Lytechinus pictus: one gene and its partner. The protein of the gene in region 2 binds, or shares a complex with, the protein of the main gene of each other region. Links are inferred from orthologs where the notes say so. Each region holds a gene or a part of one and is shown on either strand. Other genes may lie near its edges. The genes, in order: RNA polymerase II-associated factor 1 homolog and RNA polymerase-associated protein RTF1 homolog.

Region 1 (3,923 bases), about 3.1 Mb from region 2:
CACTGCGCTACTCTCTTACCTCCTTTATGATGATAGACATCTTCTATTCATCCTCAATTACTTCGTCGGGAGATGCTTCTTTTATATTTCTTCTTGGATATCAAAAGTTAATTTCTCAAGATAGTAATAAATTGATTTGAAAACGCTAGCTCCCCAAAACATTTTAACAACATGTTCCGAATCATCGCGCGTGCTTGCGAATTCTTCTACATTTTAATTGCACTTGCGACTTTAAGATGATGCGTCGTACGAGATCAAGAGATCATTTCAAATAATTTTAAATCGCTAGCACCTAAAAAATATACTTATAAAAGATGTCCCGCCGATCGTTCATTAACCTGTGATCTATGATAATTATTTTCATTTTATTTTCCTTTGCAACTTTGCTGGGAAGATGCGTCTTTCGTTTAACTTTCGAATAAAAATCACTTGGTTTATTTATAGCAGTAACACCTCAAAACCCCTTTAAAACATGTTCCAAACGATCGCGCATGTTGGCGACTTCCATTCCAATGCATTCGTCTTTGTGACTTTGTCAGGAATATGCGCGCGACCGCAAATAAAATTTTGATGTTTTCCTTTGTTTTTAGACATCGCCGATTCGATTTTCGAAGCTTAACTGCCAATCCGATTTTTGATCTGATGTTTTATCCGATTTACAACATTATCAGAAATTATTAAATAAATCCTCAGAAACGACGGTTATTCCTGTCTATTAAATGTCCGTATTACCAGGGCTCGACACTAGCACTTGTCCGACGGTCCCAGACTGGTAAAAATCGCTGTCGGGCCTGTAGATTTTCAGAAATAGCCAGATTTACTGGTCCGACATGACCAGTAAAAAACTCATTGTCGGGCCAGTAATTTTTCAAAAAAAAGCAAGATTTATGGCTCCGACATGACCAGGAATAAAAACCATTGTTTAGCCAGTAACTTTTCCAGAAATGGTCATATTCACTGGTCCAACATTAACATAAAAAATATTCCATGACTCAAATTGCAAACCATTTTCCTCCCGTTAATTTCTGTCATTCACACACAATATACACACAGAATGAATTGCATGCAATTTTTACAAGGGGACTAGTATCTAGTATTATACAGTTTAGTGCACATGTACAGCCAGCCACACAGCCCACATGGTAAATTTTCTACTGGGCTGCACGAATGAAGCTTGGCTAACGTCTGGCAGAAATCTCTCACAGAACTGTCAAAATTCACATTCACACTAATGAAAAGCTCTTATAATGTCCATATTTCCTAAAAATTGGGGTAACTCTGTCATTTGTAAGCAGTAAAAGGAGAAATTTTCACTTCTGTTTTAGTTCAAACAGATCGGGTTTCGAGTGATATCGTCTGAATACATGATAGCCCCACATATGCATTTGTGTGTGTGTTGATACACTCGGTTTCTTCCGTCATAGGCATAGCTATATTTTAATTGAGCAAAAAAGAAAGTGATAATTTATTTATGATAGTTTTAGCTTTCTTCCTCAGTTTTCTTACTATCTTTCTTTCCTCCTTTCTTTTCAATCTCTCTTCGTTTCTTCCCTCTATTCTTTCATTTTTTTATTAATGTCTTTCTTTTTTAATTTTCCTTTTTTCTTTGTCTTTTGTTCTTTCATTCTTTCTGTCCTTTAAAAAAATATTTTTCTCTTTCTTTCTTTTTGATTTCTTTCTTTCTTTAATTCTTGAGTCCATCCATCCTATATTTATATCTTCTTTCTTTCTTTCCTTCCTTCTTTTTACCCTTTCTTTCCTTCATTCTTTTTTACTCTCTTTCTTCCATCCATCCTTTCTTTACCCTTTCTTGTTCTTTATATCTTCCTTCTTTAAGCCCTTTCTCTCTCTTTCATTCATTCCATCCTTTGTCTTTTGTTCTTTCTTTCTTTTTTCCATCTTTCCTTTTACCTTTTCTTTCTTTTTTACTGCTTGCTTCCTTTCTTCTTTCCTTCATTCCTTCCTTTCTTTGTCTTTTGGTCTTTTTTTCTTCCTTTCATCTATTTTTTACCTTTTTTATATTGCTTGTTTGCTTCCTTTTTTCCTTCATTCTTTTTTCCTATCTCTCATTTTACCTTTACTTTATTTCTTCCTTAATTTCTTTCTTCCTTCTTTCAATCCTTCGTTTATTTTTCCTTCCTTCCTCTCATTTTACCCTTTCTTTTTGTATTGCTTCTTTCCTTCATTACTTTCTGTCTTTTATTCTTTCTTTCTTTATTGCTTGCTTCATTTCTTTCCTTTCTTCCTTTTTTCTTTCGTTCTTTCTTTATTTTTGCTCTTTCTTTCCTTCCTTTACTGTCTTTAGTTCTTTCCTTTCTTCACATCTATCCTTTCGCTTTCTTTACCTTTTCTTTTTTTCTTCCTTTCTTTTAATTATTCTCTCTTTCTTTGCTTGTTTGTTTCTGTTCTGTCTTTCATTCCTTCATTTTTTTTTTTGGGGGGGGGAGTAACAGGAAAGGGCAGCAAAATAAACTTGCACCTTTTCTTAATTAATGTTTTAATTTTTTGGGACCAGTAAATAATGGAAAAACTGGGTATCTACTGCCCTGGTCCGACATGAATAGGTTGGACCAGTAGAAAAAAAGGGTTAGTGTGGAGCAATGGATTACACGGACGAGTCCTGGGATCCGGCCCGCCGTACGGTATACGGTAGGTACCTACGTACCTGTACTAGCTGTACGGTAGGCCGTGGCGCGGGCGCGATAGCGTGGCCGTTGCGTTGGCCGATTTGAGCAAAACTTGAGGGCCTTGGCGCAGGCCAGAATACTTGGCCATGGTTTGTAACTTTGCATAATCAATTAGTAAAAATAACTAATATACATACTTCCGATCTCTGTCCTTTCTTTCTCCACTCTGTATTGTCGGCGGCATTTCGATTTAATGAGCAATAAAAGGGAAGAAAACCGACAGTAGATTTTGGGTTGGTGCAAACAAAAAAACATAGCACATGAAAATTGAACGATACACTGATTGTGCGATGTCCTCGAGTAAGCAAAAAAAAAAGCATTAATTACTCCCTCCTTGACAAATTACACATTTTCTTGTGTTTTGCAAACAAAATTAAACATCCTGACGAGACTGTTAAAAGATAATAATCAAGGAACAGATCAGATCAAAATAATATGAAATTCAGGGAAGAAAAAATTCTAATTAAGAAAATACAGGTATAATACAAAATCATTCCGTAAACAGTGGCGTAACAGGCGGGGGGGCCGCGGGGGCAAGCTGCCCCCCCTGGCGGATTTCACCGGGAAAAGAAAAGAAAAACGGGAAAAAGAAAAAAAGGAGGGAGAAAGAAAGAAAGGAAAAGGGGAAGGAAAGGGGAAAAGGAAAGGAGGAAAGGGAAAGGGAAAAGTGAAAAGAAAACGAAGAAAATCAGAAAAAGCAGGAAAATGTACGAAAGAAAATCAAAGAAGAACATTTGAGAAAGAACAAATCATTCCGAAATAGGCCTATGTAATGCAATAGCACGGTGGGCAATGAATTAAAAGATGACAAAATGGCAAACAATAGCGGGAAATGAAGGTAATGTTATTAGTCAAAAGCTAATGGAAAACAAAGAAAAGGGACAAGAAAAAAAATAATAACATGACCGGGCTGCCGATGATTGAAATTAAAGAGCGCATAGGCGGATCCAGGGGGGGGGGGGCCGAGGGGCCCGCCCCCCCCCCCCCCCCCTATTGGCGGAGCAAAAAAGAAGAAAAGGACAGAAAGAAAAAAGGGAGGGAAAAGAGAGGAGAAAAAAGAAGAGGAGGAAGACGAGTTAATAAAATAAGATGAGGGAAAGACTTGAAAAATAAAAAGAATCTTTCATGTCACTATATAAAATTTTCGCTCGCGCTTCGCGCTCGCATTGCCTGTTAGGTGATTTTCATATCTTGTTCAATATGGAGTTCAAATATCAAGTTTGGAATTCAATATAC
Region 2 (3,923 bases):
CACTCACTCACTATTTCTTTTGTATTTCATGACATGAAATACAAAATATTCTAATTTTCTCCGCATTGTCCTGTGGAACAAAGTTTTATTTCTCCCTGGAAATGTGGAATTACCATTGTCTAACATTTTATGGTTCAGTCAAGTTGGTCCTTATTGTCAAATCTGTAAATTTGAAATATTGTATAATTCAAACAATAAAAAACAAAAGAAATAGTGAGTGACATCATCGATTCTCTCATTTGCATGTGACTAAATTGTGCATGCAACTACTTAGTGAAAAATAACCGAAACTTTAAAATGTCATGACTTTCTTATTTTACATCCGATTTTGATGAAATTTTCAGCATTATGCTTGTCTGATTTTTCTCTATCAATTCAAATCAACATTTTTCTGAGGTGGACTTGACCTTTAAAGCTAGAAATCACGTAAATTTGTTGGATTTTATTTATCTATATAGGGAAAAATCCATCTGTGTTTACATGTGCCGCTTTAATAGGCAAGTATGGGGGAGGGTTTCAAGGCTTCGTGATGAAAAGTATATCTATGTAAAAATATTTTTAAATATCATCATGGAGTCCTCAAGGCTAGGTAAATACACCAATCATGCATTATTTTTAGCTATTAACTGGGTTACAATTAAAAATCTTGCAATCTGATGATTGCATCACTGCATAATATCACATATATGTGTAGACATATATCACAACTATATTATCTGACAGTAATATTACAAATAATACCCATCACCATGGGAATGAACAAGGTAGCTTCATAAAGTTCATTTGTATTACAGTTTTAACACAAAAAGGTTTTTTTTTTTAGAAATTGCAAGAAAAAATTGCTGATGGTGATGCCCCCACCAGCCACCTTAATTGATTGCCGTCGTGTCTACTTAATCATAGACCTACGTCAAAGAAGAAAAAAATCAAGCAATATTATTAATGTGCAAACATTCACTCTCACTCTCAGTCTCACTCTTGGCAGAGAATCCAAAGACTGCATATTATTTACGACCAACATGTGCATGGTCATGGATGGGTCATGGCCCATGCCATGCCATTAATTATTTCAATGTCTGCCTGATGACAAACTGATTTTGCTCAACGAATTTAACTTAAGTTTTTGCGATTGTTTTCTGTGCAAAACAAGCTAAGAAAATGCCAGAAGCAACCCGTCAGCAAATTTTCTTGCAGTTCCATTCCTATATTCCTGAAATTTAGTGACATCAAAATTCAAACACTCACTTACTCAGTCTCAGCTAAACTTAATATTCTCAGAAACACACACTCACTGCATACTGCACTGCATGCAGTGCAAATAAATGTGCAACTATCTATCTGTGTCAGTGTCATGTCTGTCTGTGTGTAAAGTGAATGGAGAAATTACCTCTTCCAGATCCGATTCATTTTCCGATGCAGAACTGTCTGAATTTATCACTGCTCTGCTTGGTTTCTTACGTTTCGACATGGCGCTTGGGTCTTTCACTTTAATGGGTAGAATCGGGACTCAAATCGATGAAGTTCTTGCTTTTTAGGGCATTTTGTAGAGAGAGACCACGACTGAGATGAGTTCCCTTTTTTTCTTGTTTTACTTTTTTGCTAAACGCACGCACACGCGTGCAATACGTACGTACATCATGTAGGCTAGCTAGACGTACATGGCCGCGTATCGTTGCGATTTTAGCTGATAAGTTTTAAAACGGTACCATTACTAACCAATGTGCACACGCACGAAACAAGCACACGAAAATAAATGACAAATATTGTATGGTACTTTCATATAAGCAAATCGTGATTCTGAACATTTGGCATAATTACTCCGGCTGACTGAGAATGGGGGGGGGGGGGTGATTCCAAAGCACTGGCGTAGATCTTTAGATGGTGTGGGGTGGGGTTCCGCGACCAAGAAAAAAAAGAGAGAAAATGCGAAACATTTTTTTCAACTTTTTTAGATTACGCCCAGGCCATTATACGTCACCATAAAAAAATATTTTCTCATGGTTTGCTCGCTTCTCTCGCTCTTGATTTTAAAAAAATGTCCGATGCGCCATCAGTTATTGCTCCTCATTTTTTCTCTCCTGCGGGAACCACAGAATCTCCTGATTACCTCGATCTTCTTATAGGGGCGGGGGCGCGCGGTGGCGAGAAATCACCCCCCTCCCGCTGTTTGCACCATGAATGCAAATTAATACTTTTTCCTATATAGCATAAGGCTGAAGGTCTTTTATTACACGCAATCGCGCTTGGTCAACGTTATGAATTAAAGAAGTGTTGTTTTTCTCCAAAAATAAAGGCTTGACGTGAAATGACTAATTCCTTACTATAGTCACGAATGGCCAAGATAATTGGAAGTATATATATATATAGGCCATAGTTTTATTTCCCCATCATGCACTCATTGATATCCGATTTTTTTGTTGTCTATTAACATGGAAGATAAAGCCTATAAGGAAATCGATGCCGTGGTGATGAGAAACCAAAAGAAGGCTATAGGGCCTACTTGATTACAACAACGGCTGGGGGAGGGGGTGGGGGCGGAAAAAAATGAAATAAATTATTTCTATTATAAAGCCCGGAAGAACTTGACTGCACAAGACACTGATTTGATTATCATTGAATTAACAAACGAGCCATTTAGCGACCGAAGAAAAATAGATTCCCTTTGCAAAATATAGTGACCTTTACATTAATTTTGGTACATAAGAAACACGACTCATTGATATAGGCTCTTGCGGCCAGCAAAGCGACAAAAGGCTCAACGCAACACAGCTCATACAGGCTCGATCCCTGCTGCGGCACTCCGTCCATATAGCATGAATTAAAATAAACTGCTTTCAAAAGGCCTGTAAGTTTATACCTGGCCTAGCCTAACAGGATATCAATCTGGTGCCGGGGGGGGGGGGGCACTAGCTTCCATTGACGAGTGCATGGATACCATGCGCCACCATGTCCGGGTCTCGAAATAAAAGCCTTATTTTGAAAATGCACCAGGCCTTAATTTGGCGTGTAAATCCCTACCCTTAACAAGTATTGGAAACAAAACGATATCTTGGCAAGTATTTCCTGAATTGAACCCCCAAACAAGTACAACGATATTTTGATTATTATGACGTCGGTTTTACCTTTACCTACATCATTGGGTTTATGACCCCACCTCCCACACACCGCCACACACCGCGCAATCGTACTCTAAACACACAACGTTAGCCTAGTGTAGCGGTTGGGGAAAAAAGTAAATCCTTTATATAACAGTTTTTTTTAAAATTATTTTTGTGTTTTTGCCACCCTTATTACGTTACGTAACTTTGTAACGTGCCCTATCTTGAAAAAGACACCCCTTTTACGTGTTTTATAGTCGCGCATGGTATCTATTCATGCACTTCCCCATATTTTTGATGCCATATGTTCACAAAAAATTAATTTTATCATAACTACCCCACGAGACACTTCACTTCGCAGCGAAGACCTCTTTGTGTGAATAGCTTTGCACTTGTTCTGTAATTATGTTTAGATCAATATGATTTCGACCTATTTGTTCCTTCTCTTTTTTCTTTCCTGTATATAAACGCATAAATGAATAAGTCGATTATATTTTCTTCATTTCCGTGGGGATCCACACTTTACAAGCTTTGCTTTTTAGTGGACCCCCCTCATTTCCATTTATGCTCAATATTATACTGTTTTTTTTTTTTTTACGAAGTAAGAATACTCGTCTGTAAAATTGTATTTCATTTGTATTACTTTATATTACTTTGTATTATGTTTTGAATGGAAATGGAATAAAGAATTGAATTGAATTCGTCAATGTAAGTGCCCCCCCCCCCCCCGGATCTGGTGGTGCAAAATTGAGCTTTCGATCTGGCTGCACGTACCCCTGCACAACTTAATTATGTTCATTGGAACTGTGCCCCACTTACAGTGGA

The links.
Region 1: RNA polymerase-associated protein RTF1 homolog (region 2) and RNA polymerase II-associated factor 1 homolog share a complex: the UniProt entries of both Caenorhabditis elegans proteins name them as parts of the PAF1 complex. The link is inferred for Lytechinus pictus from reciprocal best matches to the Caenorhabditis elegans genes rtfo-1 and pafo-1.

Annotation. Positions count from the first base shown.
Region 1 is NC_087251.1:47,770,344-47,774,266, forward strand, and holds the start of RNA polymerase II-associated factor 1 homolog, read right to left. Parts: upstream 2,994-3,923; 5' UTR 2,872-2,993; coding exon 2,825-2,871; intron 1-2,824. UniProt on the Caenorhabditis elegans protein: Component of the PAF1 complex which is a multifunctional complex involved in transcription initiation via genetic interactions with TATA-binding proteins, elongation and transcription-coupled histone modification.
Region 2 is NC_087251.1:44,622,358-44,626,280, forward strand, and holds the start of RNA polymerase-associated protein RTF1 homolog, read right to left. Parts: upstream 2,716-3,923; 5' UTR 1,469-2,715; coding exon 1,388-1,468; intron 1-1,387. UniProt on the Caenorhabditis elegans protein: Component of the PAF1 complex which is a multifunctional complex involved in transcription initiation via genetic interactions with TATA-binding proteins, elongation and transcription-coupled histone modification.